2 linked regions of the Danio rerio genome follow. The protein of the gene in region 2 purifies or fractionates together with the protein of the main gene of each other region. This does not show direct contact. Links are inferred from orthologs where the notes say so. Each region holds a gene or a part of one and is shown on either strand. Other genes may lie near its edges.

What was found. Proteins that work in one complex are often made in the same cells at the same time.
Region 1: the proteins of dcaf11 (region 2) and cul4b purify together in Homo sapiens (affinity purification with mass spectrometry; 9 studies listed by BioGRID and IntAct, counting the BioPlex papers as one, with this or other methods). This does not show direct contact. The link is inferred for Danio rerio from reciprocal best matches to the Homo sapiens genes DCAF11 and CUL4B.

Annotation. Positions count from the first base shown.
Region 1 is NC_133189.1:38,066,355-38,072,316, reverse strand, and holds part of cul4b (cullin-4B), read right to left. Parts: intron 3,507-5,962; coding exon 3,391-3,506; intron 3,313-3,390; coding exon 3,209-3,312; intron 1,702-3,208; coding exon 1,632-1,701; intron 1,537-1,631; coding exon 1,463-1,536; intron 1,327-1,462; coding exon 1,164-1,326; intron 1-1,163.
Region 2 is NC_133199.1:14,442,596-14,449,198, forward strand, and holds the start of dcaf11 (DDB1- and CUL4-associated factor 11), read right to left. Parts: upstream 3,677-6,603; 5' UTR 3,466-3,676; intron 1,465-3,465; 5' UTR 1,454-1,464; coding exon 1,278-1,453; intron 1,147-1,277; coding exon 1,019-1,146; intron 18-1,018; coding exon 1-17. Other genes in the region: eloca (elongin C paralog a), read left to right, coding at 6,202-6,205. UniProt on the Homo sapiens protein: May function as a substrate receptor for CUL4-DDB1 E3 ubiquitin-protein ligase complex.

The DNA.
Region 1 (5,962 bases), on a different chromosome or scaffold from region 2:
GTCATAAATCACAAACGATCAGGGTTTTTTTTTTTTTTTTTTTTTTTAATCACAGGAGACATTTTAGGTCTCAAATGCCGAAATACACCACGGTTGTCTGTGAAAAGGGTAATAATGATATAAGCATGATCTGACAACGGGCTTACTTATGCAGCACTCAAGTGTGTGGATAATTAGACATGTGCTCTCCGTAATGCACTTTTGCGTATGCGGGTCAGTTTAGGACCATGATCTGTTCACACTGCAAATCTGATATTGGCCACATTTACAAGAGCATTGCAAACAGCCATGCAAAAAAATCAGATCTGAGAAGAAATCTGATTTGAGCACTAAGCCTCACAATGTGAATGTAGCCTTGGATGGTCTACTTAAAGTTTATTAGTAAAATAATAACTTTCATTAATGCTTTAAAAATATGCAACATGTGTTTTTAATAAAAAATGTTATATGACATAATATTGAGTACTCTCTATTTAAAAGCTTCAACAAAACTGTTTAAGCTGAACATTGTAACAAACAAAACATTTAAATAAACTTGGAAACATTAATATTATTTTGGCAGGTTTCATCAAGTCAAATTTTAGGACTTTAGGACCATTTTAAGGCCATTATGAACAAAATTTTAGACTTGTAAAGAGCTAAACACTTTTTGATTTTTGTAATGGTCCTGTTGGACTATAATTATTTCTTAGCCACATATTTTAATGTCCATTTTTTTCAACATATTTTTAACCAACTGCATTTTAGTTATAAAACCCTAGGTTTCATGCCTATTTATAAATATTACATCCACTCCTCCTTCTGTAAATAGTTTTTGTATAAATGGAAGATCATGTAAAGGGATATTTTGCCATGAGAAAATTATTTTCCTGATAGACAATCTTCTGTAAAAATGTCTAATAGCTGTTTTGACTATATCTTTGCAAAAAAAACCCTTTTATTTAAATATATTGTTGGTAATTGGATGGGTGTTGGCCTAATTGGGTAGTTTTAGTTGGACAGAGGAAAATTAAGAGCTTTTTTAAATGATTAATGACCTACAACAATATTTCAGTAAATTTAAGACTTTTTAAGGCCTAAAATTTAGCTTTCAAAATTTAAGACATTTTAAGAGTCCGCAGGCAGCCCAATTTAAGCCCAAACTTTAAATAAATTGTCCAAACCTGCAGGTCAGAGAGCATGCTCAGAAGACTCCTCAGAAGACTGCGGTCTACAGCCTCGCCGCTTCGCTCCCTCTCAATAAGAAGCAGAATCCCATCGATTGTCTTACTCTGCACCTTCAGGTCGCTGATGATATAGAAACGAAACAACTCCAAGCCCATGTCCCTGAAGATGAAGCACAAGAGTACCTTTAATCACCAGTAGCAGGAGCAGTAAAGCACAGGTAGTAAATAAAGACAGCAGCAAGGGTGACAGTGCAAGTGTTACAAATTTAATATCCTTCTGCAAGAGAGACACTCACCAGATTGATGGCAGCATAGAATTTTGTAAAACATATGTGCGATCCAGAAACAAAAATATACTCCTAATCATGATCTAGAAAACAGAGAATGCAAGCATTTCATTAAACAAAGACATCAAATTTTAACAAAAGCAGAATTAAAGATATCTAGAGTAAATTACTGACTGACCATTTGTCTGCAGTGATCTTGCCAACATTTGTCTATTTTCTTGAGGAACAGAACACTGTCTAGGGCATCCGTAAAGCAAGAGTTAAGAAATTCTTTCACACCACAGTTATTGTACATCAAAATTAGCTTGGGATAAACAAGACAGTCTAAATAAATGACCATTCACCTAAAATTATTTCAGAATTTCTCAGAAATGTTACCCTACAAATTTAAATAATAAAGTATGTCAGTTTTCTAGCAAAAGTTTTTTTGAGGTCAAAATTAAAAAGTAGAGATTTTTTTTTTATTTGACTGAATCTTATTTTAACAAATAATTTAACTGAACATTATTTTTATAAAGCAAACATATTTTTGGCACACAAGCTACCTTGCAAACTTGCAAAATGACTTTGTGTGTGTAATTTTGTGTTTGTTATGCAGAACCACTCACCTACAAATCCCTAAGTCAAACTCTCAATCAAAGGCCCGATCCCAATTTTATTTTTGTACCCCTACCCCTTCCCCTTGGCCCCTAAAAAAGGGGAAGGGCTTCAAAATGTACCCCTAAGAATTGGAACAGCACGACAACACCTGCACACGCCATCATATGTCATAGCGATCTCTTGCTTCATATGAGATTAGACGATCGTGACTGCTGTATTTATTCCAGTTGTGTTATTTTTTGGTATTTATCTTCAGGAAATCACTGAAGGCATATATCAATGTTATCATAACAATATAATGTGGCAATAAGATTGTAACTATACTGCGCATTTATACCATGGCCATATTTTTACATATGTAAACACACCAAAAACAACATCAACATTATAGCAGACGCTGTAAAAAGCTCATTCCCAGCCACTAGACTTTTTTTACAGGGTACTCGAATGTCATCGAGTGTCAGAATGTTTGGAGGTAGAATTGGGATTGGGCCAAACTGAAATGATGAATTATTTCCAAATAGAGTTACTAGAGTTTTCCTGTGAATTTATATTCATATCGCAACAAATATAGCAGAAAAACTAAATAATGTCCATTTTTCCAATGTCGTGCAGCCCTATTGCAAACATTTTTTTGAAGAAAAACAAATACGTACTTTCAGCACTGATGTTAAATGAAAGCTTTTTTATATATAAAATTTTTGAAAAATATTTATTAAATAAGCATAATGAATAATATTTAAAATATTTATAACGCAACATGATTTCTGAAGGATCATGTTAATACTGAATAAAGTATTAATGCTGCTTTAAATTCAGAAAGTTTCTATTTCAAAACATACATTAAAATAAGGTTTTTAAATGAAAATGTCATTTTATATTAAATGCTATAAATGCTTAAATGTGAAAATACAACCTTGCTGTAATTAAATGTAAATATGTGAAAACTTTGAAAGAAGATTCTTTCAAAAATATGATGTACCCCAAACGCTTGAACGAGAGAGCATAATAACACTATGTTAATTAAAAAGAAAAGCAGAACTATTGGCCTGCAGATTTGTGTATGTTGAGCCCAGGTTTGTGCTCTTCTCTTTTACTCAAAATCTAACATTCCAGCAGATTAATAAATACAAAGTGTAGCAAGGAAAAGGATATTCTCTGAACTGGTCAATCTGTGCCTTGATGTGGTCTTCACAAACCACTCTGAGCTGTTTATACAGCTTGGCAGATATCTTATGAGAGCACAAGTTTTCAACAGCCTGAAAGAACAAGTAAACATTAGATTCCACGTATAATATTACAAAAAAATATTAAAGCTAGTTTATTATAGCACCGACCTGATAGAGCTCCTCTAGATTGTACTTTATTGAAGTGCTGTTCTGTATGGCCTCTACTGCCTCCTTTAGTTTCTGCCAGGTCTCATTTGTGTAATTCTCTGGTAATTTGGGCTTTTCTGAAAATGTATAACATTATATAAAAAAGGAGATGAGTAAAAACAGTAAGCACACAATGTCAGGATTTGGTGATCCAGGGTTAAGGTAAAAAAGTTCCATAATATTAAAGCATATAGTCAAAGGGTCACGAAACACCAAAGAGCATTTGACTACAAAGTTAAAAATGGTTGTTTTTGCGCTGTTTGGAGAAAATTTGTTCTTCCGATTTAAAAAGACATTTTAAAGCGATGTCACAGCGATAAGATCATTGTGTAAATTCCAGCATAGAGATTGGCTGTCTGTACCGGCTGGTACAAAGCGACGTTGAGTTTTCAGCACATCTGTCTATTAATTCATGAGAAAGACTTGGTTTGAACCAATCAGCGCACTCTATTGTGAATGAGATGCGACTTCATTAATATGCATGATATAGCTTCGAAGACTCATTTAACCTGTTACAGAATTTAGAGACACCAAGTTGTGTTGCCAACCCCATTTCAAACAAGTAGTAACAGAAGAATTGTTCAGAGACATGGGTCAACAGTGTTGCATTTATAAATGTGCCGCGACAAAAGTTTTGTTTCCGTTTTCCCATAATGAAAGCACTGATCGCATAGAGACCCATATGTGTGGATTACAGTGGTCTTCTAACACGTGACAGAATGGAATATGTTTGTAAGGAACATTTTTTACCCGAGACCTTTTTGAATCTGGAAATGTTGAAATCCGGATTTTAAAAATGATGCGTTTCCAGTTGGTGTTGATTGTCCTGTCTCTACATATTTGGTAAGTGTACGATCAACGTTCTTTGTTTATGTTTATTTAGATGGCAAAGTCAGTTAGTATCGTCAGCAGTACTAATTCAGTTTTTGAAGACATACCATAGTCAAAATGATTTATTTTCTATGTTTACAGTAATATCACTACAATATTATGGACTGAAAATCCTCCACTTCCACACAGCTCTCAGATCTGCTGTAAATGTTGCTCTCCGAATCACTGTCTATCTCCCCTGCGTTTGTGTTGCCGCTGTGAAAATTAGTGTGTGCATGTAGCGAAACTCTCCTTTTTATGCAAACCCTTCCCTCTTTTGGCACTCAACACTCCCACCTAAACACATCTGGACCCACCCACTTTCCTGGCTTTTTTCAAACTCGTGGTGTGAAAACAACCTGCTGAGAGAGAGGACTTTCGTGGCCCTTAAATTAATAAAACTGCTGCTTCTCTCTGTTCAGAGATATGACAAATTATGCATGCACTGCAGCAGGGACTTGCCCCACAGATCCAAAATAGTCCTAATATAAACACTTATCAGAGATTTATAACACTTATCACAGGCCCCCAGAAGACAAAGGATTCTCATTTTGAAAAAAAAAAAAAACGTATTTAATGTGCAATTATTTATATTTAGAATTAGATTCAAGTGAAGTAAATCCGATTTCAGTTGTTGCACTATTAAACTATTTGTTTTTTAGCGTTATGTTCGACATTGTGTTAATATTTAAAAGTACAGTGCTCAGCATATGAGTACACCCTTCACAAATCTCTCATTTAAATTAATATGTCCTGTAGGATGCTTTACAATATTATATTTGTGCATAAACATTAGTTTAGTCAGTACTGATTCCAAATCTGGAGCAAATCCAACAAAATAACTTACAATAAAGGTTTAAAAATTAGTAGCCCAAATTGATATGTTAGGGAAAAATATTAAACAACATATAATATTTTGAACAACTTTGTTGAAATGTTGTAGTTTGTCATTTTTTTTTTTTGCAATACTTTGAATGAATTTAATTGTATTGTCTTTCCATTTCTAAAGATGTTCTTTGACTAAAAAAAATAATTTAATAAATATATCCGTTTAATAAATCTGTTTTGTTCAAATGCACCAATGTTTATTACCCATATTCACTGGATGAAAATAGATAATATTTCTCACATGTACTCAATTATGCTGAGCACTATACATACATGCGAACTAGTAATTATCCCAATAATGCTCAATTATAAGGAACATAATTATAATTAAGTTTCAAACTTATGGCTACTGAGATAAAAGATGCACCTAACATTTGATACAAAATACTTAAAATAAAATATGCTTTGCTCGTAAAAAAAAAAAACTCTGTCAGAGAATGAGCCTCGGAATAGTGACAAACAGCACCATACACTCTAAAAGCACAAAACATTTTAGTAACAATGTACAATGTTTCATTTGTTGACATTATTACAATTAATTTAAAATATGTTAGCATGAACCGGTTATATTTGTAGAACCAGAAATATTGCAACATTTATTATTATGCTAAATTTTAATTCCATCTAGTTTCTCCATCAAAAATTAGCAAAACTTTGTTAGCATTAGTTATTGCATTATGAGCATTTTTATAAACATCAACTATGATTAATAAATGCACTGATGCTTTTATTTTTAGTTGAATTAATAAAATGTTACCAAATTAGATCACATTGT
Region 2 (6,603 bases):
GTCTGGTTGAGCATCCACTGAGCAAGAATAAATAAGGCATAGTAAATGACCACACACCTGTATATTCAATAGTTTTCACAGCACTATAGGCCAAAGAGGCTATATTAGGCATTTCCTTGAATTTCCTTACTGATATCTTCCCAACAAACTTATGTAGTAGTAATTTCTAAAACTGCTATTTTTCAGTCAGTTATTATTTAATAGTTTATGTGTATTTAGCAACTATAGTAGATAACTGATTTCTACCTGAAAGTTTCAGTAAAGGTCTTTCAGTTTCTTACATGTTATGAACAAATACAGTACAGATTTAAACTGAATGTGTAAAACTCAATCTGAAAAATCTCATCTTTCAAATTCTGTCCAGTTTATGATAAAATTCATCTCAAAATGCTGTTTTGATGCTCCTTGCATTCTTCTTATGTGCAATATAAGTTCACATTTTTTTCCATTTTTGTCAAGCATTTAAGTAAAAAGCATCTGACTTCCAACAGTTTTGGCATCTGATTTCAACAGTTGTTTCCCAGCACTAGTGGTTCACGAGTTAGTGTACTCTCAGTGCTGGGGTGCAGCTGGAAGGCCATCTGCTGCATAAAACATATGCCGCAGTAATTGTTGGTTCATTACAATGTGGCAACCCCTGATAAATCAGGAACTAAAGCAAAGGAAAGTGAGCAAGTGAGTCTCTTGTTAATTTTTAACTTTTAGTATAAATGTATGCAGTTCAAACCATTGCGTAGAACTGTATTTATTATTGAATGCATATAAAGACAAAAACATAATTGATTTAGTAAACCAGTATAATTAAAAAGATATGATTTTTTTCTCCTGGCTGTACCAAAAACGCATCTAAGCATAATGTTTGCATATTACTACACCCTGTGTTTTATCATACCATGTTAATAAAATAAAGTAAAATAAAATAAATAATGCATAATAATTTCTAAACACTGCACTGTAACTTGGGGTGTCAACTAAGTAAAAAAGCATAAATTAATCATGCACACAGTTCATTATTTACCTGGAGGGTCATATCGATGACCTAACCTCCCATCCCAAGCCCCATCACTGTCCTCATCAGAGTCTGAATATGACTGCACAAGCTGTAGGCCTGTTGCTCCACTTCCATGGACCAGACGTACCTGGCCCCTAGAGTAGACAAAAAGGTAAAACAATTTGCATTACCCATGTGGAGGAAATGCAAAGCAGGTTTACAATATGTTCCAGGATGTTTTACAGTATCTCCACTATCTCATAGGTTCAGAAGGTTATAGATTTACCTTCGCAGTAAGTACGCCAGAACTTGTGCTAAGTCAACGTCCTCTTCAGATCCTGACTGTCTCTCAGCCTGTGTACGACCCGTCTGATTGGCGTTCTGGTTGGCTTCTGGTTCTGACTGGTCTGGGTTGTTGCCAGAGCCCCGACCGGACATCCCAGAACTGGACTGAGAGCCCATAGACTGATTGTCTGCCAAATCATTGATTTATTCCACAGCAATACAGGCAATTACACTCAAGATGAAAAAGCAAGATATTCTATAAAAGAGTTTCTTCAAGTTTCACCAAGTTAAATGTAAGATTTTTAAGACATTTTTAAGACCGTTATGAGTTAAATTTTAAATTCATAAAGAGCCAAAAGCTTAGGATTTTTTTTATTGCCCAGGAAAAGATTTTTATTTGCCCTATCACTAATATATATTTTAAATAATTTAATAAATTTAATAATACAATAATAAAAAAATAAATTGTTTTATATATTTCTTAACAAGGCGAGGCAGTGGCGCAGAAGGTAGTGCTGTCGCCTCACAGCAAGCAGGTCGCTGGTTCGAACCTCAGCTTCATTAATTCATTTTCTTGTCGGCTTAGTCCCTTTATTAATCCGGGGTCGCCACAGCGGAATGAACCACCAACTTATCCAGCAGATTTTTACGCAGCGGATGCCCTTCCAGCCGCAACCCATCACTGGGAAACTTCCACACACACATTCACACACACACACACTCATACACTACGGACAATTTAGCTTACCCAATTCACCTGTACCTCATGTCTTTGGACTGTGGCGGGAAACCGGAGCACCCGGAGGAAATCCACGCAAACGCAGGGAGAACATGCAAACTCCACACAAAAACGCCAGCTGAGCCGAGGATCGAACCAGCGACCCAGTGACCTTCTTGCTGTGAGACAACAGCACTACCTACCGCGCCACTGCGTCATCTCACTGTCTTTTAAATAACTGTAAATGATATTATGTGCTTAAATAGTAAGAGTTCCAATCATCTGTGTCTTTCAACAATTACAATAGACCAGTAGCTTCCAGCAACAGTCCTGGGCAGCATTTGGTGATAAAATAATTGTGCTGCTTAATATATTCGGAGAAACTGTGACATTGTTTTTAGTCAGGCCATTTTAAAACTGCAAAAGAGCAGGAATTAATTTGAAATACTGTAATTTTACTTTTAATTATTTTAATTAATAAATTAATATTAAAAACATGTTGCCAAGTGAACTTTGATATGGTAGTGTATATGTACACAGTACACTTAAGTGAGTGCCAAAAAAGTTCAACCATTTACAAAACAGGACTTTAGAGAAGCTTTCTTATATATATATATATATATATATATATATATATATATATATATATATATATATATATATATATATATATATATATATATTTGCTAATAGCCATTTTCGTTTCATCCCAGAAATAATTTAGATATTACATAAGAATGAAGTTACATTAAGATATTTCATAAATTTCTATTGTAAATTAATAAAAACTGAATTTTTGATTAGTAATATACATTGATGAGCAATTAATTTAGACTTTGAATGTGATCTTCTTCTAATTTAACTCTCAGATTTTCAAATAGTTGATCCTGAGGATCCTAACAAAGTAAACATTAATGGAAACTTAAATATTATGATTCTGATGACTGACACTTCAGACGATTGCAAAATCGACACTGTTTTGACGGTTTTGTGGTCCAGGGTCACATAAAATAAATGATATATTGCAAACAGTGTTATTTTCCGCTTAAATATGTATTTGTCTGTTCAAAAACATATGTTTGATTAATGCAAAATGAATACCACCAAACTAACATTGATGTAGTTTATCAATTGAAAGGTAGGCCTAAGTCAGTTTTTAACATCATATTGTTTAATTGACTTCATTGAATTATGACATTTAATAAGCGATTAAAAATCAGGACAGTAATTGTTGACAATAGACTGTGATGTAACTTGACAGGTGAGCATGCTAAATTGACAGGCTAAAACTGCAAATGACATATTGCGAACATTTCATATAACGGTTTTATATTTACAGACCAGTAGTTTAAAAAAGAAAGATATAAGATTGTCTACGTATTACATCAAAACAGCACTTAAAACAGCTCATTCTTTAGAAGTTAGCGCTCACGCTAGCACTGTAAGCGACCTACAAAAGAGAGGCACTCACCAGTTAAATGGTAACAGCGCTTTGACAGCTCTTTTACCCGTTGGTTTGTTCCTGCAGACCTCGTTAAAAAAACAGAAAATAGTGTTTGCAAAAACTAAGTTTATATACCTGTACGTTCAATAAGCTTAGCGCCGCTGCTTCCCTGAGTTGTTTTTAAGACTCTCCTGGTTCGTGACGCGCCATGTTGTTTACGGTCTCGAGACTCGCCTGCTCACGTGACACACCGACGCTTTCCCACAGAACAAACACAAAGAGAGAGAATTTTTTTATATAAAGCCTTAATCAATAAGAAAAAAGATTATCATAAGCTTTAAGAAATTCATTATTCTTCTTATTATTAATAAACTTAAGAGATTCAATATTTTACGAAATTATATATTAAATTACTAAATTTAAGTATTAAATATAGTTATTGTTTTTAGGAACTTATTTTTGAGTATAAAAAATTTACAGTGTAACACAAAAAAAATTTACAATAAGATCGAGAGCATGATCATTACCTGAGAAATACAGAAATATATCTTCTATAGACAAATTTAAATCATGGGAATTTGTAGAATATACATAATGCAAGATCTTAAAATGTATCTCTCTTATTTTGTTGGATATGCTGAATTTTTCAGGTAATAACCATGCTCTCTTCAGTCAGAATATATATAATATATTCTGTATATAATATATCAGAATATATATATATATATATATATATATATATATATATATATATATATATATATATATATATATATATATATATAAACAAATGTGGATGCAAATAACCAAATGTGGATGCATTTTTTACAGATAATATTTATTACAGATGTTTAGATGAAACAGCTAAAAACTATATATTTTAGTTCAGAGAACCTACATTACAATCTAGATATAGCTCGATAAATGTGCTACATTTATATACATATTTATAGATAGCTTCCAGTGTATAAAACAGTGTTTTCTTTGTTCTTCATGTATTGTGACTATGAGGTGGTTTGATGCTTGAGGCCCCAATTCCCAAACCCCAAATCACTCATACAATAGTATAGAGATCAGTGAAATTAATCCATTTTGGTTGCACTGAGTTGAGTTGATTTCATTGGTTTGGTGGAGTTGCGCTTAAAGCCAATTCATTCATAGCCCTATTTGCTCATTTGCCAGCCTGTAAAATACTGTAAACAAATTTGACAATTTATAGTTGTCGCAACAATGTTTTCTGTTTATGTACACTTTCAAATTGCTTTATGAGACCTGGTGCTCTGCTCTGACAACATTAATTTTAAAAAATGAACTCTGCAGTTAAACAAAGAGATTTTATTGGAAATTGTAGAAGTGGATAATTTAATCATTTATAGACATCTGAAATGTAAAAAATCATCACAATATAACTTTAATAATGACCTAATTTTCAAAATTAAAAAGATAATTTTAAAATTGATCAAGATAATACAGTGTCAGGGATCACCATAGAGACATTAATAAATGACATTTTTGATATTATGACAAATTATATTCAGATGAAATGACAGTATAAAAAGTGTTGAGTAAAAATAATAAGATTTTGTCATATAAAAAAGAAAAAATATATATACCCCATTTTACCCATTGAACATAAAGTAGCTACAATGCATTTCAGAAATATCCTGTCTTAAATACACCATGTAAAAGAAAATGATAATTAAGAATTAGTTTAAAGATAATCAATTAATGACAAAACATTAAATGATAAACATCAAAACACACAGAAAATTCCAAAATTACTGCAGTTACACAGTTATTTTATAATTGTTTGCCCCATTGATGATAGAATGACGATGGAAGCAGACAGTGCATACAACATTGTAAACATTATGAGATTAAATTACATTACTAAAACATTATTAAATTATGAGATTAAATGATTTTTTAGACCTATATATTTATTTAGATATGTTAGTTGATCGTTCACTTTTCTAAAAGACATATGCATTTATGATTTTAAGAAAATATTTGATGGCATGTGTTTGTTTCAAAACAAGCAAAACATAATAATAATTAATTGTTATAACGTTATCGTGTAGCCAGCCATATAGCTTCAGGAAATATTCTTAATACATTTTTAATGATCAGTGAAATTAAACATTCGTGTTTGTAATTTTAAATGTATTATATACGTCAGTAAAAAGAGGACTTTTATTTATAAGACACACATTTTTTAACCGGAAATAATCAGTTATATCCAGTGCCTGTCTGAGTATCGAAAGTTGTTTTGTTGTTTTAAATTCGTGGTAAGTGCGACTGTTTTACATACGTTATCCTCATAATATATGTGGATATATGATTAAAAGACACATTACGAAAATAAATAATTATACTTAGCGAGATATGCTAGTTGATTCAAGATTGTATAAGATTTGTTTTCTATTACAGCGACAGTCTGCTTTTATGACACGGGTTTTAAGTAACAGATATGAAAGGACTAAGTGCAGATTAGTCTAAACACAGCAACGATCCGGTTTTTAGGAAGACATCGTGTTTTAGTAATGATTTAACGTTACCTGTTAGCTGCTCGAGTAAGTGTGTCTCCTTACTTTCTCAGAGTTTTAGTTTTTTTTTTTCTGACGCAACCTTTCTTCCCTTCTCATTTGCTGACTCAAAATGATTTATCTGTTTTCTTGTGCAATACACCATCAAAAAATATCCTAATGCTTTATTCTGTTTTTTTTTTTTTTGCAGGTGTAATAATACAGTGGCTGAGAAACAATGGGTTTGTATTCATTTTATCCCTCATTTCTTTGGGATATTTTAGTTTGTTGATTGCAAATAAGCCATTGTTTTCATCGGCTCAGAATTAATCACTGATCTCATATGATTTGTGCATTCCTGCACCAACTCCACGCTCCACACTAACACGCTTTTGGTTTACAAATAAAGACAAAACTTAATGTTTTTCAACTAAAACCATATGTCATATATAACTATACCAAAATCTTTATATGCGGTCATGGTTTTACCATGGTATTACACTTATTTTATCATTGCACCATCTTTATTCATTAAAATGTGTTTATTCATTAAAATGTTCACTTGAAGATGAAAAGGGCACTAGACATGGAACAATAACCGTTTTCAAGGTCTACCGCGGTTTGTAAAAGTCAAGGTTTT